2 linked regions of the Drosophila melanogaster genome follow. The protein of the gene in region 2 binds, or shares a complex with, the protein of the main gene of each other region. Each region holds a gene or a part of one and is shown on either strand. Other genes may lie near its edges.

Region 1 (15,972 bases), on a different chromosome or scaffold from region 2:
ATATTTTCCTCCTGACCGAGCATGTGTTTTGGCTCACACACATTACCCGCACACATACTCGCACACTTGTACACTTTGTGTACCCAACACTATGACACATTAAATTCTCCATGTGGCGGCACTTGAAGCCGAGTTATTCTCCCTTTTTTCTTCCTTGATCAATTTTTTTTTTGTTTGGCCGTCTGAAAAATGACGTTGCTTGACCTTAGGAGCGTCTATTTACGACTGTGTGAGTGTGTGTGTCTGAAAGGATGTGCCAGTGTGTGTGCGAGTGTCTTTTGTTATTCTAGGCCACAACGAATGAGTTAATTTCACGTTGGGCCCCCAAAATTGTTACCCATTTTTCACGTCCTTTTCTTGCACAAACGGAGGGCTGAAAAGAGTCGTAAAAAATATCCTGACATACTTGTCACGGAAAATCTTTACAGATTTTGCTTGAAACCATGACTTATCAATGTATTTCAAGTGCCAAAAGAAATTTCGAATTAAAGAGATTACTTTCTGTGTTCCCATAATTCATAGGGCGACTTATTAGCCAAAATTTGCATATTTCTGGCAGCAAAGCAAAGCAGCAAAATCGCAAAACAAAGAAGGGCACGAATTGAAGATAAATGCGAATCAAAACACAGAAGAAAAACAAAAAACAATTAATTAGATGGATCCCCGTTGTATTGTGCCAACAAATTCAATTAAACTTGCAGCAAACATAATAAATTGAGCGCAGAGACAAATTTATTTGGCGGCAAGCAATTGTTGAAATTTAAATGAATCCTTCGGGAGCCCAAAGGACATTTTGTCATCGTCCAACGTCGCCGTTAAAGCGCTGCAAAATGCCAAACAAATTAAATTGTAATTAATCATTAGGAAACACCATCCACAAACCACCACCCGCGCCGCCTTCGGCCAGCACGTGCTGAACGACCTATGACAACGTTGCACGGCAGTAAAATGTCTGCCAATTAATTACAAAACGCATGAGGGGCCAGATAAGAGCGACAGCCATTAAGGAAAGCGCCATCCAGCGGAGACAAACAAAAAGAGCTGTGATAAAAAAACATGAATTGGGGCACATGGGCAATTAACACGACGCGGTGTGTAACTTTCCCATCTGTGCTGGTATGTGAATTAATTGATTTTCTTTTTTTTTTAACAGCCTCTTGTGTTCGCTTCGGGTTAACAAAGTAGGAAGGTATAAGTGCAGATACAAATTTAAATTATGTTTGCACAGATTTCGCGGTATTTTAACGATTCTCAGGGATACTTTCATATGCATACACTCTTTCCTTACTGGAAAAATTTATTACACACTCAAATATTTATTCACTCCCAAGGATTCTGTCCAATATCCTTGTACTTATGTATGTCCAAATAAATTTCCAATTTCAGCTAAATATTTTGAAAGCTCATTACGCGCACACACGTCAAGGGGAAAACCCCCTTCTTTTGGCCGAAATTGATTCCTTGGCGTTCGCCGTCAGCTTTGGGAAACATTCTGTGTAATTGTCATACTCGTTAGCGACATCTGACCCAATTACGAAGAACTGTGTACTTCCATTGGCTTTTCACAATTTTCGCCCTAATTGAATTGTCTAGTTTTGTTTATTTGTTCGTTTTCATTTGGCTGTGAGTGGGGATTCCTAATTGATATTAATTAGAAATGAGCCGATATTAATAGGTTTAGTTCTTATCAACTATACACATTTCTGCTACAAATCGTAATATTATAGCACTAATATTGATCAAATGGATATTTGAATATGAAAGTGGATTAAAAATTCTTGAATTGGCATTTTCTTTGCAACTTATGCATTTTGCCGCTCACCAGATTCAGAAATTGGCTTATTTCAATATGTATTACACAACCCACGCGAACTGGCAAACAAACAAACAAACCAACGAGCAAACCCACAAAACAATGAAGACAAGCAAGCAGATCATTTTCTGGCACTTGCGTACTCACTACATGCACTGAAAAAAATCTCCTGGTCAATGCTTAAAAACAAATGAGAAGTTAGTAGTTTCGGCAAGAGGGTTATCAATATAGATTGTTCCATAAGTATTTGCTTAATATCATTTAATATCCGAAATCATTGGAAAACGAAACCATTTCAGGAAATTTTTTCAAATCAAATCGTCTGAATTCGCTTGTTACATAATTTAGAAAACTCAATAGCTTTATTTCTGCGAGTGATGCGACTGCTGGCTAAATTTAACTGTAGTCGTTATGTGTCGAGGGTGTTGCGTTCTGGCCGCCAACTGCCTTTGGATTTCCCAGGCCAGCAACAAATGTGGCGGCGGATGCTGTCGGCATTTGAATTTTCGGGGGCCCAAAGTGTGCAGAAAAGTGGTGGGGAGGGGGGCTTGGGGTTTGGTGGATAAGGAACCCCCCTTACACGTTCGTGCGTTTTGTTACTGGCTGTACACTCCCGACACCATTATTTCTTTCATTTACTCGATTTTCGTGCTTTTCATCCTTTATTGTTGTTTGCTCGAGTGCCGTTATCATTTGTCGGTTTATTTTGCGCCATATGTGGCCTGGGATAACTCTCCTCGATTTTCCCCATTGCCAGCTTTTCCAGCTTTCCCTGCTTTCACTCCTTTCGGCCTCCTTTTTCCCTTTCATTCGGGCTGAGAAGTGGGCGCAGTTTATGCGCTCTGCTCCAATGGGAGGCCGCAGGCAAGGTAAACTCCCAGGCTATCCCATCGATGGAACAAAATAACTAAGCTAACTTCACATACCTCTGCACTCTTGAAAATTGTTGAAAAGATTATAATTTATAAGAAACTAATAAAGTCTTCGTCTTGCCCAATCAATTTCATTAAATCGATGCCAACAGTTAATTTCCTTACTGTTCAGCATTATATATTTCATTTCTTAATAACAAATATACTAAACTTGTTAGTTTTTCGTGATCGAATATTTCTTGCAGTGTACACGCTTGGGCTCATCTGTGCAATTTGGAATTGTGTGGGTTTTTATAATAACTCAAACGTGTGTGAGCATTTGACCTTTAGCCTGCGTTCCTTTTGTGGGTTGGCTTAGTTTTTTGATTAACTTTTAGCCACCTGAGAGGATTAGCCCAAAAATAAGGCGAAATCACACGAATATATAATGTAAATTGAATTTGGCGGTTATGCATGACGTTGCCAGATCGTTTCACGCAGGCCAACGAGGGCTGCAACAGCTGAAGTCAGCTGCTTTTTGTTTACATCACGATTTCCCTTTTGTTGTCATTTTCCTGCGCCGGTGAAAAACGCACGTTTTTCCCATTTTCACCGACATAAACAAAAGCTATTTATACACGATCTGCCAAATCGGAGAGGCAACCTAAGTGCGACAACAGAATTCTTTGTCTTCCGAATCCGAATGCGTGCAGTGCGGTCTTCGTTCATGTGGATGTTGGCCAAAAATAAGACGGCGACCAATTAAAGCAGCAGCAGAAGAGGAAGACCACGATTTATTGGGCAATTGTGGCCAAGAATCCCAATGGGGCAACTGCACGCTTGTAAACAAACGGTTAAGTCAGATAGAAAGCTATTTGTGCCAGGAACACTTCACACATATCTCGTATCTTGCACATCTTCTAGATGATTGCTTGCAATCGGATGCCATCTGAATGCATAGAAGGATCAATGGGATAACCACTTAGGAGAACGACATTATCAAACCATCATGATTTATGCCATCATTTAGAAGTTATCAACTGATCGGCGCGGTTATTATCTAAATTGAATGAATCACACGGAAATACTAAGATACACGAATTGCCAAGAATTCGAGTGGGGTCAACAGTACATAGGTGTGTTAACAACCGGATCTGATTAACTTGTTGCGGTGGGTGAGCAAAATAGACTAGAACCCGGAACAGGACTCGTTTTCTCTACTGCTGACAATTTAATTAATGCTTACACGTTTTCAGAGGCGGCCACAATTAATTTGCACAACAATGGACTGATGCGAACAGTTGTTAGCCGATGTCTGCCAAAAAAAAAAATAGGTACAGCAAAAGGAAGGGCAGCCGCAGCAAGAACAACAATCGCCAGAGCAGCAGCAACAATTGCAAGAAGTGCAGCAAGTATTGCAAGTGCAACACCAACAACTGCAACAATTGCCAGAGGAACAGCAGCGACAGCAGCAACAACAGCAGCAGCATGCCACTGTGCCAGCCCGGCCATATCAACATTTCGGCTAGAATTGTGCAAATTGCCAGTGCGGCTATCGCTGCGTATACGTAATATTAAAAATAGGCTAACGCCCGCCCAGGCTGCAGGATGAACAAGCGCAGCGTCATCATCGCGGGAATCGTGGCCAGCCTGTTGGGCTTGGCGCTCGGTGCCAACTTCTACTTTATGTACTACCTCAGCGCCGAGGAGGGTCATCTGGCCAGCGTCCGGGCGCTGGAGAACATGATACGGCACAAGATGCGCCACCTAAAACCCAACTACCTCAATCGCAATCCCCGCTTCTTCATGTTCCGCAACAAGCTGCTTAAGAACTACAAGGCGGCGCCGTACGAGAACGCCAGTGTCCTCTGGGACATTGCGAACTGGGTAAGTCGATGGATCTTAGTGGGTCTGCCAGAATTGCTATGCTCGTGATTTATGTTTGGCTGCTTATGCAAACAAAATAAGGAAATGAATTTTTAATAGGGGAAAACATTCTATATTATAATATGCATCTAAGTATATTCACTAAGCATTCGGTGACTTTCAGTGGCCGCACGAAAACGAGGTCTATCCCTTATACGACTCATCGATGGGACAGCTTTTAGAAACACTGCGCCGCGAACCTATCACCCGGGTGAGCAACCTGGGTCGGGGCACGCAACTGAAGCTCCTCGTCCGCCTTTCCCACCAGCAGAAGGTGATCTTTAAGCCGCAATGGTATCCGCGGGAAGAGGTCATCGATGGCATGATATACAGTGGCAAGGATCGCCACACGGCGGAAGTATATGCCTTCTATCTGGGCGCCGTGCTCGACTTTCGATGGACGCCCATAGTGGTGGGTCGAGTGGTGAACCTGAAGAAGGAGATATATGCCAAAGGCGATCCGGAACTCCAGCAAACCATAAACATCGAAACGGACGAGGATGGCAGGGAGAAGTACTGCCTGTTCGGGAAGTGTCACTACTGCAACGAGGAGGAGACTGTTTGTGGCGATGAGCGGCACAACATTGAAGGTGTGCTCATATATATTGTTCCGGGTACGTTGGCTAAGCGGCGATCACCGTGGCAACGCACCTACAAGGATGACAAGCGGGCGCCCTGGGAGGACGATATGACCTATTGCAAGTGAGTTCCACACTTCAACTTCACTCTATAAACTTCTAAATCAAAAATATTATTTTTCAGATCGTTGAAAAATAAAATGGAGACCATCCGCCTGCTGGACCTTATAGATGCGTCTATTTTCGACTACCTAATCCAAAATGGAGATCGGCATCACTACGAGACGCGGGAAGAGCGCGTGGTGCTTATAGACAATGGAAAAGCCTTCGGAAACCCGAACAAGGATCACTTGGACATATTGGCGCCACTCTACCAATGCTGCCTGTAAGTCTTCGACCAATTTCCAAATACCTATAACTATTTACGTTTATACCTTACAGTCTGCGAAAGTCCACGTGGGATCGCCTGCAAGTCTTTTCCGGCGGCGTACTCACGGAAATCATCGATCGACTATCCAAGCAGGATGCTCTCTATCCCCTGATTACGGATAAGCATAAAAAAGGAGTGGAGCGACGACTTCTGGTGGTCTATGCTGTTGTGGAGCACTGCATGGACATCGAGGGCGACAAAATGTTCAAAACTCTGTAGTTTCAGCTCAAGATTGGGGCTAATGGCCAGCACTAGAGCTTTAGGAACTCACTTTCCACATCCTACTTAAGCTAAAGTTAGATAGAGAAATTATCGTATTATTTTAGTCCATGTTTTACTTCTGTATTTCTTCCAAATATTTAAATGCCCGAAACAGGTTTTTTCCTATTTTAAATTAAGTTCTTTTGTCCTTTCTTGTATTGGTTTGAATGCTAGAAAAGTTTTCGAAAAATTGAGATGCCATCCAATTAGGAATTAAATCATACAAAATTCGTTGTGACGAAATAAGTTTGAAATTTAAACCTATTACCATGACATTTCCCACGTCCCAATTATTATTTGGTTTTCCCATATTTTTTCAATGACCATCTCTTAAAACTGTTCTTAAATATTGAACTACAAACCGATCCATAACAACATATCCGATAGTCTAGTTTAATGAATAGTTACGGTTGTTATTTAATAGGTAATATTTTAGAAAATTGCAAAGCTCAGAAAAAATAGTTTTGTAACTTGAAAAGAATTTATAAACAATCAAAAATAAACACTTGTTTATTTCTTCATCAGTTTCATCAATCAGTTTTCGTGTTGCTCGCATTCTTACTATTGAATTCACATATATACCAGTTATGTATATTTTACAGACTTCGTCACGATTGCAGTTCATTTTTTGCCCTCTTTTCTTACATTACTAAATGTAAAAAGCTTGTTGAACTGCTTGTTGTTCCGATTGTTGGGACGGTTCTAAAAAAAAAAACAAGCGTTATAAATGTTTAGTGAAGAGATCGTTTCAGTAAAAGCTAAGCCAGCTTGTTAATACTTTTCATAGCACTCACCTTGCCGCGAATTTGCTGCTTGATTTCTGTGCCCCGGGCTCTTTGCGCTCCTCCCTTGAATTGCCGGAAGTCCACGTTCTTGTAGTCAAAGTTGCCTGTACCCTTGTGCTGCGGAACCTGCTGACTGGAGCTCTGCGGGTGGTTTCCTCGATTCTTGGCCTTGAATCCGCGCTGGAACTGATTTTTCTTTTGCTTGCGGTTGTTCTGTGCCGGTGATGGTTTCGGTGGCTCTGTGGCTTGCCTTTCGATAGGAACCTCAACGACCTCATCATCGCTTTCGCCTAAAGCCTGCTGAACTTTTTCGACTGGTTCGATCTTTACCGGCGGTTTGGTTTGTGAATTCTCGTCCTTGCGAGGTCGCTTGCTAGCAGTCGGCTGCTGTTCCGGATCTGTTTTCACGTTCGCTTGTGGGTGCTTGCGCTTCAGTTGTTCCTTCAGCGGGACGGAGTACATGTCATCATCCTCCTTTCCGATGGCGTGTGCCTCCAGCTTAATGTTTTGCTCCACAGTTGGGGCTGCTGGACACAATTGCCTCTTTTGCAACTCACTTCGCTCCCTGGCCAACTGATCGGCCTTCAGCTGCACCATCAGAGGTAGGATGGCGAGATAGCGTTTGTAGGGCATACGCATTGTCTGGCTCTCCTTGCGAAGATGGGCCCAGCGCTGTTCCTCTTCTTGTGTCGGCTTGGACTGCTTTTCGAACAGAGCCATGGCTGGTGCCGCTAAGGTTGGATCTACTTTGGCAACCTCCTCCTTATTGGGCACCTCCAGTTTTCCTGTAGTTGAATTACGTTTCAACAGCGTTGGCAGGTCGTCGCGAATCTCCTCCAGTTGCGAAAAATCGTGCGGACAGTAGAGCTTGCTGCTAAAGTCTTTGGTCGACGGAGGCAACGCTGCCTGTGTACTACTGTGGGCTTCCAGGATCGGCTAAAATCGTAAGTAAAGTCAAGAACATTAAACATTAGATATACCACCCCAACACTTGGTAACATTAAACCTATTTTAGTTGACCTGCGGTTGTGAAATGAATTGAACTATAAGGTGAATTCAGAACATGTTCTTCATTTCAATGTTAGTTACAGTTAATTGGTAATGAAAAATTATCGGTATAGGCGCCAACGTTGATCGAGTTGCAAGCGCTGCTTGAAACCGCCAAGAAACTCACTTTGACCAGCGGCTGATCGCGCGCCTTGAGGACAATCTGGTGAAGCGTGTGCAGCTGTTGGCGCACCAGCGGCGGAATGGGATTGCAGCAGGCGAGGATTCCCTGCATCTCCCTTGGAAGACTCTCAGCGATTTGCAGCATCATGTGATTGGGCAGCACATAGCCGTAACTCTCGTCCTCTGACCGCGCCGTCGCATCGCGCCACTCGAAGATTCCGCGAAGTGCGTACAGTTGCCGGTTGTCGAAAGAGCGCTTCGTTTTTCTTACTAAATCCAAATGGGATTCTGGTCCGATGTGAGGCTTATTATAACGCTTCTTGCAGACATCCGTGCTCTGTTGATAGACACTGCCCAGCAGACCTGGTTCGGCATGCTGCTGCAGCAGATCGTTTGTCATCCGTCCGTAAACGTATATCAAAAAGTGGGTATCCTGACGAGCGTAGTCCACCAGCTGCTGGGGAAGCGGTCTCATCCGCCAATCGGCCAGTTGCAGGCTCTTGTCCACATCCAAGTCCAGATAGTGCTTAAGCAAATATGCCAACGATAACCTTGCCATATTCAAGGCTTTGGCAGCCCGATGCGTGTCGAACATGTTGACGATATACAACGATAAGTCCCGCTGAAGCCACTCAATATCCAAATCGGCGCCGTGCAGTATCTTCAGCTTCTTGGGATCGGTGAGTACCAAATTTAGTATATGCATATCATCGCGTAGGATCAGGGTATCAAAAATATAGTCTTTGCTGCGAGTAGACATCTGGACCAGGCAAGTGATGCCCATGAAGGTGCGATACGAGTGGTGCTCCACATCTATGGCGATCTGGGGCGCTTGTCTCAGTTCCTCCAATGCCTGCTTCAGTTTTTCCACCGTGTCAACCACCATTAGTTCGGTTTCTGCCATCAGAGCTGGAAGCACTGGCTTTTGTTTTTGGAACTGCTCCTCCGGAGGCTGAAACTTAAGCAGCTCAAACTCGTAGGGATGCAAATAGGATTGGACATTGCCGGCATCATCGTATTCGGGCAGCAGGGCCAGCGGTTTAAGAGAATTAGGTTTCTCCTTGAGTCTTGGAACAAACGGATTCTGGGCACTGTTATCCACCGGCTCCCTAAATTGCGTCTGCGGCCGAACGATGTTCTTGGCGGTGAAGAGACGAGCCGAAACCATGCTGCGTTGGGGTGTTCCTGTCGTTCTGTTCCAGCTGCCTGCCTTTGGAGTCCCTTGGGTTTGTGGGGAAGCTACTGCGGGCTCTATGGATGTGGAGCTGCTCATCACGTCCACCTGGGCCTCTACGACCTGTTGTGTATTTCTTCGCAGACCACCTTTAATGTCTAGATTAGTCGTAATGCGCTCGAACAGTACGTCGTTGCACTCCTGCACCATCTCAAACTGCTCTTCCGGTTGGCGTCTGTTTAAAGAATAAAGATCTATTGTTATTTACAGATACAGGTACCAACTTTGATTTCAATGGCTGTGCTGTATTTTCAACATTTCGAATAATGTCATGGTTAGAAGCTTACTTTTTGATGTCGCCCTTGATGTCCTTGGAGTGCAGCACGTTCCCGATGAGCGCCACCACCCGTTGGGTCAGGTCTTCCATAACACGTGCGTAGCCTGGATAGCTTAGGTAAAGGGCGCGGGCTGTTCCTTGTGGGAAAGCATTAGCGGCTTTTGTGGCGGCGATTGCATTCTTGAACCCTTTCTGGAATGTCAGAGCAGAACACGTAGGGATTGGATTGAAATATACTTATGTACGCTGGCTGAATTGCTACCCACGTTTGTGAATGCCTCAACATCTTCTGAAGCGGATTTCTTTGGCGGCTGGTCTGCTTGGGCCGATTCCTCTTTGGCCTCCTGGTGAACTCTTTTCGGGGTTCGCGGCATGTCTGTATAGTGTTTCCTTGTCGAATGTCTTGTGTTATTTTCGTACAAATTTTTTGTCGTTTTACAGATTGTGGAAAATGTGCGTGTTTTCTCTTCTTCTTTTTTGAGAATAACAACAGCTTGAATTTGGAGTTTGTCAACACTACCGGCGGCGAAATTTGATCACTATATAGCACTAAAACGGTGCTGACCGCAATCGAATTAAATCGATATGAAGGTGTATTTTACAAATGTTAGCCAAATTTGGAATGGTGATATTTCGTTATGTTAAACCGTAAACAGAACCTGCTTTGATGAACAATACTTTACAAATTCTTTTTAAAAGCAAAATGTTATTATTATATTGAACTAAATATATATTCCTTTCAATATAAATTAAACTGAATAAATATTTTCTTTGTTAAATATTTGGTCTTTTCTTTTATTTTTTCAAGAGGGCGCTAAATTGTTCAAGTGAAACCCTGAACAAAATTTTCAGCCAGCTGATTGCCAGTGTGTACACCCCTCCGGCGCCGGCGAAAAGCGAGGAGCTTGACCGAGAAGCATCAACTCCATCCAGAAGAAGTGGAGTTACGTGCTAAAAAAAAAGTAATTATAAAGCCTAAGTTTAGTCCAATTAGGAGGTAAAACACGCACAAGATGCTGGACCTATACAGACGCACGGTGGCGCGGTTTCCTCTGGGCAGTGTCAGCTATATGTTCGCCTACGGATCCGGCGTCAAACAGCAGGAAGGCTATGGAAAAGTCGGCAATGGAAACAACCTGCGTCCTCCGCCGGGAACCGTTGTGGATCTGGTCTTTTGCGTTCGTGATGCTAGGGGCTTCCATGCGGAGAACCTGCACCGTCATCCGGACCACTATTCCGCCCTTAGGCACCTGGGACCGAACTTTGTGGCCAAGTATCAGGAGCGTTTGGGTGCGGGTGTCTATTGCAACACGTTGGTGCCTCTGCCAGATGTGGGCATTACCATAAAGTACGGCGTGGTGTCGCAGGAGGAGCTGCTGGAGGATCTGCTTGACTGGCGGCATCTTTACTTGGCAGGAAGGCTGCACAAACCAGTGACGAATCTGGTCAATCCTTCTGATAATCCTCCCCTCAAGGCTGCGCTGGAGAGGAATCTTGTATCCGCGCTGCAAGTGGCTCTGCTACTTTTACCAGAGAAGTTCACTGCCTACGGACTTTTCCACACCATCGCCGGACTGAGTTACAAGGGCGATTTCCGTATGATTTTCGGGGAAAACAAACAGAAAGTGCACAACATAGTTAGTCCGCAAATCAATGACTTCTTCGCCCTATACCAACCCTCCCTGGGACAACTTTCCGACTATGTGGCGGTAAACATGAAGGGCCAGGAACCAGGGAGCCGGAAACCAGCCATAATCTTCGAGCAGGACAAATCCTCATCGGCTACATGCCAACACCTGCGACAGTTGCCCCGAGAGCTTCAGAAGCGATTGCAGCGAAATGCCGCCTGTCGTGGCGACTACACCCAGGTGGTGAATCACCTATCCATGGCCTCCCAGCTTCCGGAGGTGCTGCAGGCATCCGTCAACGACATTGTGTGGCGCAGCAGTGTCACGCAATCGATCAAAAATATTCCCAGTGCTGGCATTCTCAAGTCATTGGCGTATAGCTATCGCAAGGCTCAAAAGACATTCGCTGTTTAGGTTTATTTTTCGGGTTAATCCCCTGGCTGCCAATCATTCTACCGACTAAGTTGTCCCATCCAGCTGCATTTTGTTAAATACTTTTAAGCTTTAAAGTTGTTAACTGCAATATAATGTTTAGCCCAATCCAAAGACCTGAGTTTTCTTGGGGATTCTCTCTTTTCACATCCAATGGACCTCTTTATAACCTCAGGAATATCTTGGTTTACTTATTATTTCATTAATTGTATTTGCAGATCATGTCCAGCGACGACAATAGTAGTGATAGCAATTCGTCCAGCGATGAAAGGCAAAGGAAACGGAAGCTTAAGAAGCACAGCAAAGATGTGGACAAGTCCAAAAAGAAGAAGTCGAAAAAGCACAAGAAAGAAAAGCGTCGCCACAAGGAGAAGAAACGCAGCAAGCATGAGGAGGAGCCACCTGTGCCTTACACGCAACCTCCACATTTAATTAATGCATCTCCGCCAGATGTGGCTACAAACAACGAAGATTCCTTTGGTCCCGCTTTACCGCCGCATTTAAGGAAGACCCAGCAGCCGGAACTCCCTGAGCAAAGCCAACCAGCCCCACAACCGCAGGCCATGATAGGACCCGTCCTGCCCAGCAATTTGACCCGGGAAAAGTCTCCTACTAAGGAAGCGGAAGCTGAGGACGATGATGACCTAGCTGGCACCTTTGGTCCTCTGCCAAATGCCAGTCAAGTGGCTCTGGAGGAACGTGCTTTGGCACTTAAACTGGCAGCTCTGGAGGGCGGGGGATTGGGTACATCTACAGACCAAGATGTCCGCGAAGAGTGGATGCTTGAGCTGCCAGATGTGGGACTGAAGAGCGGCCTTGCCGCCCTGAGCAATATGAAGCGCACTTTCTATCAGGGAAAAGAGCGACCCGACTTTAGCGATCGATCATCCTGGACGAAGACCCCGCAGAGTGAAGCGGATGCTGCTGCATCGGGCCCAAAGTCGCTCAGTTCGAAGGAACTCGAGCAAATGGCACAGGTCAAGTACGAACAGCAGCGGGATGACGAGCAGGAGAGCATGGCCAAGAGGCACAAAAAGAAGCACAAGCGAGAGGAGTCCCTAGTGGAGCTACATCAAAAAAAGCTTAGGAAAGAGCAGAGAGAAAAGGTACGAGGAAAAATATTTCTTAAAAACATAATATGGATATAATATTGTTATAAATTTAAGGAAAAAGAACTGGCTGCATCGGGTTCCAAGCCAGAACGAAGACCTTTTAGTAGGGATGTGGACTTGAAACTTAACAAGATCGACAAGAATCAGACCAAGCAGATTGTAGACAAGGCCAAGATATTGAACACCAAGTTCTCCAGGGGTCAAGCTAAGTATCTGTAGGTTAAATGAACCATAAAAAATCCAGACGATCCGTACCGCATGTTAATCTTAAGCAATTATGTAATTTAATTTAGAAATAATTATTATAAAGGCAAAATAATTTGTAAATGACATTTTTGATTGCTTAGTCACCTAGCTTAAACTTTCGTTTAATTGGCATAAATACATTGGTAATATGAGTACAAACACACAATTGGGCAATACCAGCTAATGATGAATGATTATGAAGCTCTTCTAACGCTGAGGCGGTGGTTTCGGTTTCGGAATCTTGGACAGCAGCATCTGAATCTCGTCCTTTTCCTTCCAGTCCTTCCACAACTCGTACAGATTTACAATGGCGCGCACGATCTCCTGGACCTTGTCTAAATCAACATTCAATTCTGCGAACCACTGCTTCGTGGCGTCCTTTTGCAGGATGACGCAGGCGATTTGAAGGCAGGCTATAGCGATCTAGAAAAAAATAGGTTCTTCAAATGTGAGGAAGCTGTAGAAATTATCAGGATCACAAACCTGGTAAGGAGGATAGAGCAGGCAGACATCGGTGCGCAGGGAATCGTTTACGATACGCCAGCTCAGGGTGAGCAACTGGTCCTCCTGGCCCATGTCCTGAACCAGCTGCAGCAGCGGTCTGTACGGCTGGTAGACAATCAAGCAGCAATCCAGGTTCTCCAGCAGGTAAAACTCGCACTCCAGGATGTGATTGGTGCGGTAGGGAAACTCCTGAGCGTACGCATAGCTGAACTTTGTCTTAATGGCCGACTGGCAGATCGAGATCAGTCGTGAATTGGAAATGACACCGAACTCCTCCACCTTCGAGGCCAGCAAGATGCAAGTGGGCGCCAGCAGCAGAGGATCGATGTTCTTCAGGGAGTTCCTCGCATAGAATCTCTTGAAGTAAACCGTCGCCGTGGCGATGACCTGTTGCCTCAGCTTTAGCTGCTCGCCGAGCACCTGGATCACATTTGCGAAGAAAATAAACACCTTTTGGTATTCATCCTCGTTAAGGGCCAACAAATCGTGCTGACGCTCCCGGAGCAGATCGGGTTTGTCCAAAATCCACTGCTGCGAGTGCGAACTCTGCCAAAAATTGCCCGCCATTTCGTAACTAGTAGGCCTAGCTGATTAGGTCGGCCAATATTTTCGTGTTAGCTATCCAAATTAGGTGTTTATTTCAATAGCAAGCCGGAAAACCAGGAAAAACGAAAAAATTGTGTTGCCGTTTCAGCCAGTGTGTGCACACCAGGGCTATTTTCCACGAACAGCTGACTGGCCGCAGCCAACTTTGCGCAGCGCAGTACATTGGTGTGTGTGTGTGAATTTTTCATCAGCGCCGCGGCCACAGACGAAAAAGTCTTAAATATTTTTTAGTAATAGGCTATTGAACGAATTAATAAAACGATGGCGTTGCGAGTTCTTGGCGTGACGCAGAATATGCGCTCCTTCATGCGGGGCGTTGACATGATCAAAGTAAGTCCAGACAGCCATCCAATGATTACGCTTCCGAGGATTTAAATTACGTAATTGTAAATGATTGTGTTTTTGGTTGCAATTGTGGTTTATTCTTGTGAGAAAAGGGATAAACAACCTCTTGTTGGTCAGTTATTCAAGAGCCATCCAGTTTTTCAAACAAATATTTGGGAAAACTGTTTGGAAAACCCACTACAAGCACTTTGAGGTTATGTTCGTGTTTTACTTAACTCTGGGCTATAGTTTTCCCAATTTTCCCGAACTTACAGCGATACAAGTCGGCTGCCACCCTACAGAAGACTCTGCTGAACATACCCGCCACCCAGGTGACCAAGCTGGACAACGGTCTCCGCGTGGCTAGCGAGGATTCCGGTGCCTCTACCGCCACCGTGGGACTGTGGATCGATGCTGGGTCGCGCTCCGAGAACGAGAAGAACAACGGAGTGGCCCACTTCCTGGAGCACATGGCCTTCAAGGTTGGCTCACTAGCTTGATGCTTTAAATGCGTATAATATGCGTTTCTGCCACTTTTTAGGGTACCGCCAAGCGCTCGCAAACGGATTTGGAGCTGGAGGTTGAGAACCTGGGCGCCCACTTGAACGCCTACACTTCCAGGGAGCAGACCGTCTTCTACGCCAAGTGTTTGTCCAAGGATGTGCCCAAAGCCGTCGAGATCCTGGCCGACATCATCCAGAACTCCAAGCTGGGTGAGGCTGAGATCGCCCGCGAGCGTTCGGTGATTCTGCGCGAGATGCAGGAGGTGGAGAGCAACCTGCAGGAGGTGGTCTTCGATCACCTTCACGCCACCGCCTATCAGGGCACTCCTCTGGGCCAGACCATCCTGGGACCCACCAAGAACATTCAGTACGTATATTCAGCTCTTATAACAAATGCTCTGTCTCTAATTAAAATCTTCATTTATTTAGGTCCATTGGCAAGGCCGATCTGACCGACTACATCCAGACCCACTACAAGGCTTCGCGCATCGTTCTGGCCGCTGCTGGCGGCGTCAAGCACGATGATCTGGTCAAGCTTGCCTGCAGCAGCTTGGGTGGCCTGGAGGCCAGTGTGCTGCCCGCGGAGGTGACTCCCTGCCGCTTCACCGGCTCCGAGGTGCGTGTGCGCGACGATTCCCTGCCCCTGGCCCATGTCGCCATCGCCGTCGAAGGCTGCGGCTGGACCGACCAGGACAACATCCCCCTGATGGTGGCCAACACCTTGGTGGGTGCTTGGGATCGTTCCCAAGGCGGTGGCGCCAACAACGCCTCCAACCTGGCCCGTGCCAGCGCTGAGGACAGTAAGTGTACATCAGTAAGACGACCAGGATATGGAGATTATTAACTATTATTGCCCTACAGACCTTTGCCACAGCTTCCAATCGTTCAACACATGCTACAAGGACACCGGACTCTGGGGCATTTACTTCGTGTGCGACCCTCTGCAGTGCGAGGTAAGAAGAATTAATGATTCAACAGAAAACTCTCGAGAGAAAGCAAATTTTACGTAAACAAACCTCTTCCCCAGGATATGCTCTTCAACGTGCAGACCGAGTGGATGCGTCTGTGCACCATGGTTACCGAGGCTGAGGTCGAGCGCGCCAAGAACCTTCTGAAGACCAACATGCTGCTGCAGCTCGACGGCACCACACCCATCTGCGAGGACATTGGCCGCCAGATCCTGTGCTACAACCGCCGCATCCCGCTGCACGAGCTGGAGCAGCGCATCGATGCCGTGAGTGTGGGCAATGTGCGCGACGTCGCAATGAAGTACATCTACGATCGGTGCCCAG
Region 2 (16,992 bases):
TGCAATCGATGAATGAAGTGCGCCACGGAAGTAACCGTTGGCTGGCTTACTGTTTTCCAAATAGGTGTAGCACTCGCAGCAGCTGGACTATTGCACTAAATAGCTTAAAGTCTAGTTATATCGCAAGCAAACGTTTAAATTTGGGATACGAGAACTGTATTATTACTAATTCACATGCACACAAACACCCACGCACACCAACGCAGCCATCGGCGCTCAGCTGATTAGAGGTGGCCCAAGTGTACGATGGTTAAACGATAGCCCACTACATTGCTAATGTAAAAACAAATTTATTAATTTAATTAATATTTTAACTAAACTATCGCATAGTTGTAAGAAAAATTCCAATTGCAAATTAAATTAAAGTCAATACTACTTTTTTATAACCGCTTTTTAGTAACCCATTGAAACATAACTTATGTTCCAATGGATGAAAAAATAGACAAAAAAAGTTGAAACTTTATTAAAATGTAGCTGCTAAATATTTAATATTTTTGTAATATCCCAAATCAAATTTGTATGAAAAACAAAGTTCGTTCTGAATGTACGTTTATTGCAAATTCATCTGATAAATAAAGGATTAGGACTAGGCTTACGATTAAGAAGTGTCTTCGATCTAGTACGGTGGTGGTTGATACTGCTGCTGGCCCATCATGTTCTGCCGCTGGAGCTGAGCCACCAGATTCGGCGTTTGTTGCTGGTTCATGCTCTGCTGCTGCGGCACCATTCCGCCTCCGGCGCCACCGCCAACGGCGCCACCCCCCTGCTGAGGCCCGGCTCCCATGCCGCCGCCTGCCCCACCACCCATACCCTGCAACTGCATCATTTGGTGCCTCAGCTGCTGTTGTTGCTGTTGCTGCTGCTGGAACTGCTGCTGGGTGTTGAGGACGCCGGGTTTGCCTCCTCCCGCCGACTGCTGACGGGCGTACGGAGGCACCTGGCCGACGACGCCACCCGGCCCCGGACCCATCATGGTGGACATGGTTACGTTGGGCGCCTGGTTCATGTACTGGTTCCGGTTGCCGGCCATCATTCCTCCGGGAACAACGCGCTGTTGCTGTTGTTGTTGTTGCTGCTGCTGGGCAACCGCTGCGGCGGCCATAAAGTCGGGATTGTTGCGATTCCCCTGCTGCATCTGCGGATTGAAGTTGCCCATCATGTTGGCCTGCTGCTGTTGCTGCTGATTGGGCGCCATGCCGACGCCCACTCCAACGCCTGCTCCACCGCCCTGTTGCTGCATGCCCTGCTGTTGCTGCTGCTGGTACTGATTCTGGAAGTTCTGGAACTGCACCTGCTGCTGCGGCTGTTGCTGCGGCTGCTGTTGTATCATGCCTTGCTGAGGCATGCCTCCCATGCCCATGTTGGGATTGTTGCCGGCACCGCCAACGCCGACGCCAACACCAACGCCCACACCGTTGCCTCCCTGAGCTCCACCGCTCTGCATCATTTGGTTGGCATTCGGGTTGACCATGCCCACCATATTCTGTGGGATTTGTTGCTGCATCATCGGATTCTGCGACATGCCTTGACCTCCCATGTTCATCTGATTCATCTGGTTGGGCGCCATGCCGGGTCGCATGTTGCCGCCGCGCATGAACTGCTGCTGTTGCTGCTGGTTGGGATTCATCTGTTGCTGCTGGGCGTTCTGCTGCGGCTGCTGCTGCATGGCGTTGAATGCAGCGACAGACTGAGGATTTTGCTGGGGATTCATTTGCTGCTGGCGCATTTGGTTGGGGTTCATCTGCTGCTGAGGACCGGGCTGTTGTTGCGAAGCCTGTGGTTGTTGCTGCATCGGATTGAAACCACCCCCCGGACCCTGTTGCGCTTGCTGCTGGAATGGTTGTCGTTGTCGTAGCATCTGTGATAGCGCCTGCTTGGAGTTGGCATTCAACGGCGGGCGCTCGATGCGATTTGCTGCAATGGTAAGTGACACGGATTACAATCTTTAACCGTATATAATATCAAACACTCGACTTACACTGCATGTTCTGCTGATGCGGAGCGTATTGGTTGTGGTACGGTTGTGGCGGCTGCTGCTGCTGCGGCGCATTGTGCCACTGTTGCTGCTGGCCAGGCATACCCTGCGGTCCGGCTCCACCGCCCCCTGGTCCCTGCTGCATGAAGTTCATCTGGGGATTTGGCTGCCCGTTCCCACCGCCCACATTCAGCTGCTGCTGCATCGGGTTGTTGCCCATTTGCTGCATCTGCTGCTGCTGCTGCTGTTGTAACATGGCATTCTGCTGCATCATGTTGTTCGGATTGGGTGCAAACTGCTGCATGTTCATCTGTGGAAAAAATTTATATGAGTTATAATTTAAACTCGAAGGTAACAGAAGAATGGTTTAGCACCGAAAAAGGTTAAGAAAATCTGGATTACAAGTTTACAACTTTCGAATTTTTCTGCCATCATGTTGCTTTAAGAGGCTTGCTTCGATTCCTTCATAAACCAAATCTAAGAATTTAACTATTAACGAAAACAATTTTATTACCGGCATGTTCATTGGCATCTGGCCCATTTGGTTGGGCTGCATCTGCTGCTGTTGCATGTGCTGCTGCTGCATGTGCTGCTGTTGTTGCTGCTGCTGTTGCAACTGCTGTTGCTGCACATTCTGCGGCTGTTGAGGCTGCTGTGCCAGCTGAGGCTGCTGTTGCTGAGTATTGACCACCGGTGGCGTTTTCGGGTTCTTCGGCTTGCGTTTCCGCGTGGTCGTTCCCTTGCCGCGACCTCTTCCCGTGCCGCCAACCACAGCGCTTGGCGACTGATCCACCGACGAGGGCGTGTCCGCCTTCATTTCATCCTTCTACGAAATAGAAACAATGCATTTAGAAAGGGGCAAAGGGAAATGCAAAAGGAAATACAAAATGGACTTACTATGCAAATCTTCTCGGGAACAGGCTCAATGTCTTCAGGTGGCAGTGGCAACGGTTCATAGTAATAACTACTGGGCTTGACCAGACTGTGCGTGTGATACTTCAGGTTGCGGTGAGCCTCCTCGTAAGTAAGGGGCTTGCGCTCCAGCTTGACTGCACCAAACCACACCCAGGACAAAGGAGCCGGGTTCTTGTGACCCTCAAGGATGTCCCACACGCTGATACGCTGTTTGTCCGAAATGCGTAGTTGTTTTTTGTCTATATCGCAGATCTTGTTGCCCTTGGTGTCCATTCCAGAGTGTTCGCACGCAATCACCTAAAGGGAGAAATACCACTCAGTTTCCAAGCTCGTTCAGTTTTGGGTCATCTACTCACCTCAGTAGGCTGCTTGTAAAGTGGAAGAAGCTGCCGAATAACCCGAATGGAGGCGTTGTTCTTCTCTCCGATTTCCTTCTTTAGCTTCTTCATCAGGTTCATGTAGTGCCTCTCGTCATCAGAGACCAGCGTTGAGTGCACCAATGTGGCCAACATGTCCACAACGGTGGTGAACAGCTCACGATTGCAGCTGAGATCTACCACGCCCTGGCAAACCAATTGGGCCAGAAGAATAGCCCAGTCTGTGGTGGGGGTACTGTTCTTTTGGATAGCCTCGAACATGCCGCCCACCAGCGAAAAGCGCAACTGCAGCGCATCGAGGATCTCCTCGCGCGCCTGCGGCTCATCAATGCCACCGATTGTGTCCAGCTAAAAGGAGTCATGTTACTAGTAAGTTTAACTTTAAGGATAGAAAGTAAACACTCACCTCAGCAAAGGATTGCAGACATTGTGATAACTGGGCATAGAGCGAAACCAGTAAGTTTTCCTTGTACTCGTCCTGGCCTTTCAGGCAAGTTAGGATGAGACCCAGGAAAGGCTGATAATCAAGCGGCATCTTCTTGTTGCGTGCGGGCACGCCGCCCAGTCCATAGCTATTGCTACTGTGACAACTGTTGCTCTTCTCGCGCTCGTCACCACTGCCCGAGCTATTGCAATCGGACTTGGACACCTTGGAGAAATAGTTCATGCTCTCAAGAACCTGACCAGCCACTCGAAGTATCCTGCCCTGCACCGCTGGTGTTAGTTTAGCGATGAGTGGAGCCACTAGCCAGGTGGACGGTTTGGGTTTGTGGGTCGCCTTCACGGCACCCGGCAGGACAACTTCCTCCATGTGGAAGACGTCGATTGCCGCGCGTGCCACTGTGTCGAGCCAAACATTAAGCTCCGCGTTGTTGCTCAGCGATTGGCGGTACATAAGCTGAAGATCCAGCCACGAGATACGCAGTGTCCACTGTCCGAGATTCTCTAGTATGCGTACGATCATTGAGCGCTGATCCAGTTCGGAGATGATGTTAAACTCAGGCTCCGGATAGCAGATCATGTGCAGAACCCGCTGTGCCTGTTTCGCGGTCAGCATTTCGTCGATTATCATGTCGCAGAGTTGCTCTGCGTTCTTTAGGCATCTTTCCAGAACGTGTTCCTGGGCGCAGATCTGCTTGAGCACCGCCTGGGCGAACTCCAACAGCGAGATCTGCTCCATTCCTCCGACCGATGGCTGTTGCAGGGCTTCGGGTTCGCTTGTCAAACTGCTGCCCAATTGTAAATCGCTGGTGCCCAGGATCTGGCTGAGATCGGCCGGTCGTTGTTCGTTGCTCTTGGGTGTGCTTCCCGGATGGACCGGTGTATTGAAGCCACTACGCTTGCCGCTTCCAAAAGCTCCGCCCAATCCGCCAGAGGAGGTGCCGCTGCCGGAAGCCAATGGTGTTTTAAGCGCCGCATTGTCCACAACAATGAGAATGGCCTTGAGCACGGCAAGCACTGCGGCAATGGGAATGGTCTTATGGGCACCCACCAGAAGATGACGATCGCAGCTCAGCCGAATGCTAAAGTCGTTTCCCACAGCGTGCAGTGGATTCGGGGAAGTGCTTACCGAGTACATGCCAGGTTGAGGAATCTCCAAGGTCTTAAACAGCTTCAGCACCAAGTGACATGTAAGACGAGCACCTGCCTCTGCATCTACACTCAGTTCGGCTCCACCAGCGCTTACCGATCGGGCCAATGTAGGCAGGGCGAACTTACTTACAAAGTCGGCTAGTGAGAAGCAATGTCTGGCCACCAGAATGCATACGAACACGGCCAGGGCGTTGTGAGTCTTAAGTTGTCCAATGTCGACCTGTCCGCCCAGGTGCGGATAACGCGGACTCTTACTGCCGCTGCACAGACTCTGCAGTGCGTATATCCACTCCTCAGACAAGACGTTGCAGCTGGCGGTCAGTTCGGCACATGCGAGGGCCACATCGTTCAGCCGCTCGTTGTCCGTCTCTCGGCAGACGGCTATTAATGCGTTAGACACGAAACTGTATACATTGGCCGGCGACTCGTGCAGGGTTCCCAGCCAGTGAGGATCCAGTTTACCACCGCGTCGAGGGGCCATGAAAAGCTCCTGCAACAACAGTGGGTTGTAACCCTGAGGTGGTAGGCTAAATAAAAAATGGTAATATTTGTTAATATTATATATTATATTATTGGGGAAGAACTTGCGATCTAAACTCACTCAAGCTGCTCTGGAGTGTTGAATATGTCCTTGAACCGCTTGATGCACTGCAGCTGCTGGTAGTACTCCGTGGATTGTTCCTTTCCCTGGAGCAAAACACACGACTCGTGTAGGTCGCTCAGGTAGGCAATAATGCAGCGCTCCGCCGAAGTGCACTCACTCGGATTCGATACGTGCCGAATGGTACGACAGACTCCCTCAAAAACAGACAGCGTCTGCTCCGGTGAAAGAAGAAGGCAGCTGTGGTAGCGCCGCAGGATGCTGACGATGTAGAGGGCAAGTGAAGTGGTGTAACTGCGCACTAGGTTTGACTTCTTTAGCTGCAACTGGTGCTCCACCTCAGGCAACTCCTTCAACAGACTATCGCACAGTTCCAAAAGACTGTAGATATTAAGAGCCAGCTCCATCAGATCAAAGAGGAACGCCACGTGCTCCTGTACCGGCAGGTAGTTGTTGTTCCCTAACGCGAATCCGTTCAGCTGCTCCAGGACATTGGCCGCACATTGGGCTGTGACCACATGCTGGTCGAAATAAGCCATCTGCTGGCACTTGGACGTGGTAGCTTCGAAGTTAAACTCGTTGCGCGAGTGCTTCTTCACATGACCGGCCGCCGCCACATCTATGCTAAACTTTTTTGTGAAAAGCTTTCCAATTTCCTTAGACATCTTCTTGACAGCATGCTTCTTCTCGTCCCTCTCTTTGCCGACTCCGAAGAGCAGGATGTATCGCTGGTTGCTTTCACTGCTGTAGCTGCTCATGCTGGGATCATCCTGGGGGATGGGGAAGTGCTTGGTGTACACGTAATGCCGCGATATGCTACCGCCAGGATTGGTTTCTCCATCGCCTGGAGGACCAATCTTGGGACTGTCTGGAGCTTCGTGCTGTTGTCCTTTCTCCTTAATATTTTGCACCAGTTTGTCCAAATCGTCGTCCACATTGGAATCATCAAATTCGTTGTGTTTGAAGTCCAGGCCCCCGCCGAATCCGTCATCATCGAAACCGTGCGTCGTCGTTGGTGGTGGAGCTGGAGGTGGCGGCGATGTTTTCGTGGCCGTTGTTCCTGATTTGATCACCAGCACCGACTCCAGGAGCAGATCTCCTCGTGAAATTAGAGTGTGCATGTACGCGTTGTGCGAAAAGACATCGTGGCGAATCAATGCACTGAACAGCTGAACAAGGTTGGTAAATTCCGTGCGCTGCTGTGGACTGCTCACGTGCTCATCGAGGACGGGAGCATCGTGGTCAAGGAAGTGCATTAACACGTGCTGAAACACAGGCAGGCCATCAATTAAGCCGGCGCCCGAAGCTAGCGAGTCCTTGTCATCCTTATCACTGGATTGTTGATCCGCCGGCGTGCTTGTCACGTCGATCTGGCGCTTGTCAAGTAGAATGGCCACCACCATGGCTCTGTGTTCTCCCCAACGCTGCCCCGACACAGCCCACTCGCACAGAATGCGTACCGTGTCCTTGTCTTGTTTGGGTTCATAAGGCGGACGAGGTTCCACCTGATCCTCCTCCCGCCTGCGACTGACAGTTGGGCTGGGAAATATTTGTGCGTATAGGGTATCGATACTATTATTGTGTTCCATGCGATCGAAGCAGTGCGTGTCCAAGTGGTCCAGTGTAGCCAGCACACTGGTGTATTGATTCTTGCCGGCACTCAGCCACTTGGCTGCAAACCAGCGCTGCTCTGCATGCTGAGTGCGCAATACGATGTCCGACTCGGCGGCCCGCAATTGACGTCGAATCTCGTGATTGGTTCGCGGACAGCGTGTGGGCATCGGCAAGACTGAGGGCGCCAAAGGCAAATGGTCCAGCGGACTACCCAACAACGAGGAGGGTGCTCGGTGAGCTGCTATCCCACTCCAGACCAGAGCTGTGGGGCACTCGATTGTGATGATCTGTAGGATCGTGCTTAAATACAGCACTATATCCCGATGATGGGGACAACTCATTTGTTCCTGAAGCGCCAGCTCATAGGGATCTTGTTGCAACTTCGGCTCGTCCAACTCTTTGATGGTCTGCTGTTCTACGACAGTGTTCAGCAACTGGGCCAGTTTTTTGGACACTATGTAGGCCATCTTTCTGCAAAGACGCTCCGACTGGACGAAGTCGTGCATGTACTGAAGGGCAAAGCTGAGCACCAATTTCTTCAACGGTTCGTCGAAGCTTGCCTGCGTACGCATCTTGTCCAAAAGGTCGAGGATCCAGTTTAGAAATTCCTGTCGGTCCAAAAGTGATTCCTCGTACATGTACTTGCTCAATTGGTGGCAGTATTTCCAATACTTAAGCGCATTGCGACTATCTTCGAACTGGCTTCCAATTCCAGAAATTGTAGAGCCTGGTGGAACTGCAGCTCCTGCACCCGCTGCGCCTCCTACCACAGAAGACCCCGGCCCACCGACTACTCCGCCAAGGCTTCCCGTCGTCGGCATGACACTGCCGGCATTCACTCCTCCGCCAGGAGCTGCCTGTTGGCCATTAGCTGGGCTATGAATCGGTGGCAGTGGACTGGCCATGCTGGGTACCGGGATTACGTTCGTGGAAGCACTGCTACCGGTGACGGAGTTAATAGAGCTGGTGCCAGTGGAGCCATTGCTGGCAGGACCATTACCGGCGGCGGTCAGGCTTCCGGAAGTGGTGCCATTCGAAGAGGACTTGTCGTGGTCTAAAATCAAGAAGTTGAATAAGGGAGTTGATAGATTATAGAACTTAAGGACTGTACTCACTCTGCTGATAATACTCTTGGAGCTTGGGAAGCAGCTCTTTCATGAACTTGATCATGTTGCCGGTCCACTCGGCAGCCGGGTCGTAAATGGATCGCTTTTTGTTCTTAGACTCGGTGAAGCTAAGCGTATAGGCGGCGCTCAGCTTGATGAACCAGGTGGCGCGTTGCATGTTCACCTGGTTCTCGCACAGAGTAATGAAGATCTCCTCCTTCTTGTTGAACGATGGAGCCCGTTTGGCTAGGCTAAGTAGGGGTTTGTTACCGGCGAGGTCCTTAAACCAGGCGTCCACCGTACACTTGCGACGCGGCGAAACGGGCCAGAAGTTGTCCTTGCAGTTGATCTGCTGCTTCTTGCGCCCCGTGTCCGGCAGGGTCATCAGCTCCTCCTTCTTGGCCAGGACGCCGCTAAAGAATGCGCTCACTTTGCTGGCGTTCACATTCGAGTTGTGGGCCGTACCGAATTCATCGGACAGCGGTGGCGTCGTCGTGAATCCGTGCTTCACATTCGTGGGCGTCAGCTCGTCCTCTCGCTGCTTCGCGTCCTGCGGATAGATGTCCGGCGGACCCAGACGGGTGCGCTTCAGCGGACGCTTCTCCTGCAGCATGGACAGCATCTTCGCGGCCCTCTAGTTGCGTTTTATAAACAGATTTTCTTAGCGAATTCCCGATTTCCTCTGTTCGCCAACCCAACAACAAATCAAAATATCAGTGGTGGGGCGAAAAAATGCGATGAGCCATCGATAGTTCGATAACATCCCGCGAACAATCTAGCGGATGCAATCGAATTTAAGCTAAGTGTTAAATGGTTGTAAATATTACAAATGTAATCTTATCATGTTCAGCCACACATCCCCAATCAACCTGATACAGTACTTTAAATATGACGTAATTTTTTAATTATGCAGTGAAAAAGTTACATCGTTGTGCACTAACAAAAGAAATACCACTCAAAGTGGTAAGATCACGAATAAAGCTGCGTATAAATATTAAATAATTTACGTTGTATTTTTGGTAATGATTGAAGAAACATTCGTTGTTAAACGAATAAGGCCTCACAAGGCTTGGCGATCGAATTCCGGCTCATCGGCATAAAAGTGTCCGCCGCTTGTCATTCCATCGCTGCACTCGAAGTTCAAACAGAGCATTTTCAGGGGAAATTCGTGCGGTAGCTGCAAACGAAGCACAAAGTGTCACATTAACATAAGGACTTTCGAATATATGTATGTGCTTTAAATATTACTCACCCGTTCCATGATGTCATGCCTAATGTCAGTGGCCGCGGCAAATAGCTCTAGGGTTTGATGAGCTGAGCGTTTCGATAAGCTGGCCAGCGTGTCCAAGACGAAGGCGTCTGTGATGCCCAGGCAATAGCAAATGTTCAGATACCGAAGGCGCTCATTGTTGGCCACCAAAAGGGAGAGCTGCGTTTCTCCAATCTCACGAGCGGACTGTATGGAAAGGCACTCTAATCGACTCAACTTCGCCAAGTGGTGAACACACAGATCGTCACGAGGCTTGCAGACCAGCCACCGGAGACACTTCAAAGCACTGATGTACTGCGCCTGCTCCTCGTCAATCCAGCGTTTGCGGTGCAGGATGAGGTATTCCAACTGAATGGAGCACTGGCTTTTGGCCAGTGCCTTGAACAGGCGCGTTTTCATATCCTCCGAGCAGTATAATTGCAGGTACTTGAGGTTTACAAACTGCGGCAGGACCAACAGATCGGCGTCGCAGTCATTGAACGTCAGCTTCTCCAGGTGGCGGCAGTTGGTGGCCAGCATCCTGAGATTGCTGGTAGTCAGAAAGCGTTTGGCGTTGCGCAGCTGAAGGCATCGCAGCTTCCTCATGGGTTTCACAATTGTTGCGAATTCCGAGGCGGTCACGTCGTCGTACAAGCCAAGTTCCAGCATCTCGCTAAACTGACGTACTTCTTGTACTGTGAAGGGAGAAGCAATTAAATAATATTGTTGTGATAAGGTGAACATTAAATAGTTCTTACACTCCTTGCGTTCAAAGCTCTCCAGGCTCAGACTGTTGACCCGCGGAAGGTGTATCCCAATGGCTTTTATTAGATCCTTGCTGGTGCTCTTGTAGTTACGCACGTGCACCTTTTCCAGGGAGCTCATCCTCAATAAATACGGTTGCGCCCGTGCCACTGTTGCATTGTATATAGAGATGGACTTCAGTCGGTAGCAGTGTCTGCTGATCATCGGGAGCAGCTGCAGCGGGTGATCATCGTCAAAGTGGGATTCCAGTGTACCGATGCGACTGCCACAGAGCCACAGAAAGGTGCGCCAATCCTCCAGAGTCCTTATACTCATATCCTTGTCAACAACATCCTGGAAATCATGGCGATGCAGGCGAAGAAAGGCATCCCTAAAAATGCGACAGCATCGCGCCAAGTGCAACTGGTCCTCCAAGCTTAGAAGCTTGAAGATGAACAACAGAGAACTGGGGTCCAAGTCCAGAATACTGGTGATGCGGGCCATTATTAGCTGACTATGCTCATTGCGCGGGACCGTCACAGGCGCCAAATGGCCAGATTAGCAAAGGCAACTGGTTTATGTACGCCTGACATGGAAAAATTTATCCCAAGTCGGTAAGTTCTATTTATTTACTAATTGGACTGGTGGCAGTGATGACAATTTTCGAAGTAAGAGTCTTTTGGCAAGATTCAAGCTAAAAGGTTAAAGCTAAGATATTTTAACTATTGTTTAAGCTTTGTTTCTTAATAGAATTACAGTAAATAATAACATGACCTTAAAGTAAATTTAAATAAATTTAAATTTAATCAATTTTAATTAAAAAAATCAATGTAAGTAATAAGTAACGTAATTTCAGTACATAAATTTTATACAATTGTCGGTGAAAGCTTAATTGTCATGACTATCTGCGAGCCAAAAGCACTAAAGTTCTAAAATCAATCGATTAGCTATCGATAGCCCCACTGGATCGCAGCCAACTTTGCTTTGTTGGGGATGCAAAATGCGAATGGCTCTTGAAGAAGAAGCAGCAGAGGGAGGAATTTCAACAAATTACCGAGGAAAAAGGCAAGAAACGGGCGAAGAAAGCAGTGTGTGTGCATTGGCAAGTGCATAACTCCTCACCACACACACGCACACGCACCGACATCGCAGGGAGCACACACACAAGCCCCAAATAGGACCGAGGTGACCAGGACAAAAACCCCAGCTTAGATGATGAGCAGCAGAACGCAGGACGCGGACGGTGCCTCGATCAGATTCAGCGACCACACACTGGACAAGGCCACCAAGGCCAAGGTGACGTTGGAGAACTACTACAGCAACCTGGTGACGCAGTATGGCGAGCGAAAGCAGCGCCTCGCAAAGCTGGAGGCTCAGCTGAAGGACGAGAGCTTGTCGGAGGCGCAGCGCCAGGAGAAGCGTCTGCAGCATGCCCAGAAGGAGACGGAGTATCTCCGGCTGAAGCGATTGCGCCTCGGTGTGGAGGACTTTGAGGCCCTCAAAGTCATCGGACGCGGCGCGTTCGGTGAAGTGCGTTTGGTGCAGAAAAAGGACACGGGACATGTGTACGCCATGAAGGTGCTGCGCAAAGCGGACATGCTGGAAAAGGAGCAGGTGGCACACGTACGAGCCGAGCGCGATGTCCTGGTCGAGGCCGATCATCAGTGGGTGGTGAAGATGTACTACAGTTTCCAGGTGAGTGACGAGCGCCAGCTACAACAAAAACAATGATATAGGGTGGGTGGGAGAAAGGGTGATGGGGTGAAGGAGCGGGCGGCAGCGCACATAACAAAAGAATTGTGTTAAAACACGGACAAAAAAATCAATAAACCAATACAACGGCAAATGCCAAAAGCGCCTTTGCCAATCATATGGTCACGTCTCTCTTGCTCTCTCGCTTCCTCTCTCATTCTCTGCGTGGGCCGCCTTTGTTGTTTTTTTCTCGATTCTCTTTTGTCAACTTCTTCTCGGTGAAAGTTCTTGACACAGGCGAACCAGCCTACACTGAATCGCCATTTCTCTGACGTTAAATATTTGTTTAATAAGATATTTTTGCATATTACAATTATTGTACAATGAATGTAAATACAATTGCATTCATATATAAGTATTTTCTTACTCAGTAATAATGTGAGAATGTTTTTGAAATATCTTTCCACAGGATCCCGTCAATTTATATTTGATAATGGAGTTCTTGCCTGGTGGTGATATGATGACGCTTTTGATGAAGAAGGACACGCTATCCGAGGAGGGCACACAGTTCTATATCAGTGAGACGGCATTGGCGATCGATTCTATTCACAAACTCGGTTTCATACACAGGGATATCAAGCCCGATAACTTGCTGCTGGACGCGCGAGGGCATCTGAAGGTAAGTGGAATCCAGATAATTGAGATGAGCCCACTAAAAACTCTATTATTATTTTAGCTCTCCGACTTCGGACTGTGCACTGGCTTAAAGAAGTCGCATCGAACAGACTTTTATCGGGACTTGTCGCAGGCGAAACCATCCGATTTTATAGGCACGTGCGCCAGGTAAGATGTGAAAGAATCTAAGCTTGTATTTATTAAATAAACTAGCTTGTCCTGCAGTCCGATGGACTCCAAGCGACGTGCCGAGTCGTGGAAGCGAAATCGACGCGCCCTCGCCTACAGCACCGTGGGAACGCCGGACTATATTGCACCCGAAGTATTTCTGCAGACTGGCTACGGACCCGCCTGCGACTGGTGGTCCCTGGGAGTCATCATGTACGAAATGCTGATGGGCTATCCTCCATTCTGCTCGGACAATCCCCAGGACACCTACCGCAAGGTGATGAACTGGCGCGAGACGCTGATATTTCCCCCAGAGATCCCCATATCGGAGGAGGCCAAGGAGACGATCATCAACTTCTGCTGCGAGGCCGATCGCCGGCTGGGTTCCCAGCGCGGTCTGGAGGATCTGAAGTCCGTGCCGTTCTTCCGGGGAGTTGACTGGGAGCACATACGTGAGCGTCCCGCGGCCATACCCGTTGAGGTGCGCTCAATCGACGATACGTCCAACTTCGACGAGTTTCCCGATGTGTCGCTGGAGATACGTAAGTATATTTTTAAGCAAAGGGACGAGCACACAGACTAACGTGCATCCATTGCAGCATCGGCGCCCATACCGCAGGGCGGTGAGATTGCGAAGGACTGGGTCTTTATCAACTACACGTACAAACGATTCGAGGTGCGAAATTTGGAGTGAATCCAGCAGAGCAGGAACTGGAGCAGGAGCAGTAGCAGTAGCAGCTTGAAGGTTGCCGCACTTTGCCACCCATTTTATCACCACCACAGCCGTCGTCTCTCTAACACCATCACCACCAAGAGCATTCTCCACGCTAAACGAAATCCCCGATTTTCCTTTTTGAATGTCTTACCTACATGTGTATTTAAATACTAGCTAACATTTGTGATTCCAAACAAGAGAAGAATATGATAACGCGAACAAACGATGTATTGTATGTAAAAAAGTCTTAGAGCGTCGCCCGCGCCTCGGGCTAGGTTAAACGCTATACTAATCCTCAAATGTCCTTCCATTGGCTTTGTTCAATCCCTAATCCCGATCTTAATCGTTTAAACGTTGTGTTTGTAAACCAGTTCCCCATATTAGGGACCCATTCGGCAATTCTTTATATATATATATATTGTTTACTTATTGGGCAGCAGCGAAATACCCATAAATTTATTATTTAGCAAATTAAAAATGTTATAACTTTTAGGCACGTTAATTGTACGTATATGTTTTGTATCAACTTGTAATGAAACAAAGTCTTAATACATAGTGAACCCCACACACAAAACCGAATCCGAAAATCTATCACACAAATTAGTTACTAATGCCAATAGCAACAAAAGCTAATCTAGACAGCAGAATAAATAAAAGTATGTTTAAATATCGGTTTCGTTCTATGTACACCTGCCCCATCCCACCCCACCACAACCCGCGCCCACGGACACGAATATAGATTTAAAAACATTCTACTTCCCGCTGGAGTTTTTAGTTCCAAGTAATTGTAGTTTGAGCAAAAGTGAATTATTGAAAAAGTTACCGAGTTACCGCTGGCAAGTATAAATCCAATTACATAGCAAACACTCAACGCCGAGCAGTTGCAGAATGCAAACTTAAAATAATTGATAATATACCTATAAATAAATTAAACGAGTAAACAAGTTTTAAGAAATTATTTTTGGTAATAGAATACAATAATAGTAAGCATACTGATAATTCGATAATAATGCTACACACACAGCAACATGAAATGCAATAATAAATGAAACATGTGCATAATAACTAACAAATACATGCTTTTTACTTGAATTCGACTCGATCTGGGCAATCAGTGCATTACTTACAGGAGTGCTAGCATCCTTGAAGCATTCTATGAGGTGGATGTGGTTCATGAAATCATACACCGTGGACATCAACCTTGGAATCATCTCCCTATTTCCACTTGAATCATGAAACCTATCTCAAAGAAACCTTAAGCTTTTGAGTTTCCCGTAGTGTAACAACATGTGAATGGGTATGGATACGACGAACCTTCATCTTTAACCTAAATGGTATTGTATTGTATTTTCGAAATAAGTAAGCATGAGGAAACCAAAAAGTAACACGACACAAATGCTAGGCTTTGTACATTTAAATGTATGTATATATTTTGTCGATCTTTTCATCTGCACTTCTCTCGATATTTCCCTATCTGCACTCGCGTTCGATTTTTGATTTGTGTTTTGTGTGTTGATGAGAGGGCGTTGATTTCATTTTCTGCAGTTCTGCAGTTTCTGTATCTGTATCAGAACAATGTGGCTTGGCTTTAATTGAGTGCAACATCCGAAACCATTACAGACATGAAAATAAAGATTTCAAATTGAATTGGTCAGGCGGTTAGGCTCGAAAATCGAAAGTAACTTGTTTTCCATCTGCGATTTAATGTGTGTATGTGTGTCGATCGTGGTTTCTCGCTGTGTACGTGGCGCGTGTGTGCGTGAATCGGAATATATAGCTAGTCGTTTATTATATATACTACATATATAAATGTATTAGCATATGGAGACTACAGACTATAAGAATTGTTACATCAGCTGAGGGGGGCGTAGGCAAAACTTTACAAACGGGAGAACGGGGAAAACCCTACGAGACACATTTACACACAGCTAACAAACAAACTGTAAGTTGTCCATTTTCAATTTTCCATTTTCAGCTATATGTTTGTTTACATTACGGTTCGATTACTGTGCGGGCATATATGCATATGTATGTATGTTTGTAATTGAAATTTGAATTGAAATTGGAATTCGGATTGCGTTTACTTCGTACTGTGGATTTATTTAGCTTGTTTGTTTGAAATCTTTATTGGATGCTTGTAACGGGCAGTAGTATCCATAAAATTATAATGGTATAATGTTAAAAGTTTAACTATGCGCTTACAGTCTAATGAAAAGTGTATACATCGACGAATATGTATGGTAATTTCAGAAATTTTTTATAATCGCTTAGGTTTTATCTAGTTGTTTTTCACTGTCGATTGTGTGTTTTTGAATGGGGTAGGGTGCGGGGAGCGGGGTGGCTGGATGCTTGGGGTCTCTCGTTAGTTATGCTATGCGCTTGCAACTATTATTAATTAATTTAATTTAATTTAAATTGAATTACAAGTAATCGGTTTAGTTTTTCTTCACTTTTTACTTTCATATCGTAGCTTAATTCTCTACGCCTTTGCACTTGCTTTGATTTTCGCTTGCTACATTTTCTCTTTTTTTAATTAATTTTACTTTCGTTTCGCTTGTTTTTTGTTATTTTTTTTTTCTTTGCTGGCTTGCCCTACGTTCAATAGTAAAATGTATATATATTTATATAGTTATATGTACGTTAAGAATTACATTAATGTAGGACATACGTCTAAGAGGATGCAGGCCTTCTAATGGGAACTTTGGGGGAAGAGAGGGGTCGAGGGGGAAGGGAGTGGGAGTGGACTACAGGTGTTTGACCTGAACCGAACTGCAAGGACTTTAGCGACTTGGGGGAGGGGGGGTCGACTTCCTATAATCGTATTAATTAGTAGTAAAATTTGTATGTACATTTCGTTACGTTGCTTAGGACTGATCGTCGATCAACAGCATGACCTGCTGCGTTGTCGTTTGTGGATTCCTTGTGCACTCCACCTGGTGAGCATTCCAATCCTTCCGCTGGCAGAACTCCGAGCAGTACGGCGTCTTTCGGCACAGTGAGCACTCGGCCAATGCTTCGCGGTTACAGTTGGCGCACTATTTGAAAATATTAAAAAGATAAGTAAGATATCGATTGGATAATTAGCCCTATCTGTAGTATCAAAACATACCTTCTTAGCCGAAATGATCTCGTTGCCGTGCAGGGAGCCTGAAATATTTGGATCATCGATGTCCGCGTGCACTTGGACACGCATCGCGCTGACCGCTGCATCGCGCTCCTTTTGCAGAACCTCGATGCGACGCTCGAAGGACTGCTTCATGTCGTTAAGCATGCGTTTGAAGTCATTGGTGGCCTTGACCATGGTGCAGTACACGTGCTCGATGTTCTTCATCGACTGGCTGGTGTCCAGGACGGCGATGGAGGATCCATCGTTGATGTTCACCACAAACGTTTCCCGTTCGTACGTGTTGCCCATCTGCGACTGATCGACCAGCTCGGTGGAGGTGTCCAGGCTGTCGTTGAGCGCTGCCCACGGCTCATCCTTGGACGTGATGTTCTCTTCCGACAGGAACATGTTGTTCTCGTCCACCACGCTGGCTGTTGCAGCAGCCACAGCTGCAGTTACATC

The links.
Region 1: kto (region 2) and CycC share a complex: the UniProt entries of both Drosophila melanogaster proteins name them as parts of the cdk8 module of the Mediator complex.

What each region holds. Positions count from the first base shown.
Region 1 is NT_033777.3:14,876,244-14,892,215, forward strand, and holds CycC (cyclin C), read right to left. Parts: upstream 13,963-15,972; 5' UTR 13,815-13,962; coding exon 13,227-13,814; intron 13,167-13,226; coding exon 12,951-13,166; 3' UTR 12,761-12,950; downstream 1-12,760. Other genes in the region: CG3631 (uncharacterized protein), read left to right, coding at 4,273-4,551, 4,715-5,292, 5,353-5,553, 5,610-5,817; Rrp6, read right to left, coding at 6,481-6,561, 6,654-7,580, 7,819-9,223, 9,336-9,517, 9,592-9,699; CG33331 (uncharacterized protein), read left to right, coding at 10,339-11,367; CG33332 (uncharacterized protein), read left to right, coding at 11,607-12,491, 12,552-12,716; UQCR-C1 (Ubiquinol-cytochrome c reductase core protein 1), read left to right, coding at 14,115-14,183, 14,453-14,659, 14,719-15,047, 15,110-15,480, 15,542-15,633, 15,708-15,972. UniProt on the Drosophila melanogaster protein: Component of the Mediator complex, a coactivator involved in regulated gene transcription of nearly all RNA polymerase II-dependent genes.
Region 2 is NT_037436.4:19,828,487-19,845,478, reverse strand, and holds kto (kohtalo), read right to left. Parts: upstream 8,866-16,992; 5' UTR 8,804-8,865; coding exon 8,191-8,803; intron 8,130-8,190; coding exon 5,462-8,129; intron 5,388-5,461; coding exon 3,674-5,387; intron 3,616-3,673; coding exon 3,247-3,615; intron 3,188-3,246; coding exon 2,873-3,187; intron 2,802-2,872; coding exon 2,490-2,801; intron 2,386-2,489; exon of another isoform or gene 2,350-2,385; intron 2,286-2,349; coding exon 1,979-2,285; intron 1,915-1,978; coding exon 617-1,914; 3' UTR 535-616; downstream 1-534. Other genes in the region: CG32221 (uncharacterized protein), read right to left, coding at 9,242-9,358, 9,434-10,125, 10,189-10,678; trc (tricornered), read left to right, coding at 11,387-11,869, 12,336-12,545, 12,603-12,709, 12,755-13,251, 13,309-13,403; Deaf1 (deformed epidermal autoregulatory factor-1), read right to left, coding at 16,289-16,459, 16,534-16,992. UniProt on the Drosophila melanogaster protein: Component of the Mediator complex, a coactivator involved in regulated gene transcription of nearly all RNA polymerase II-dependent genes.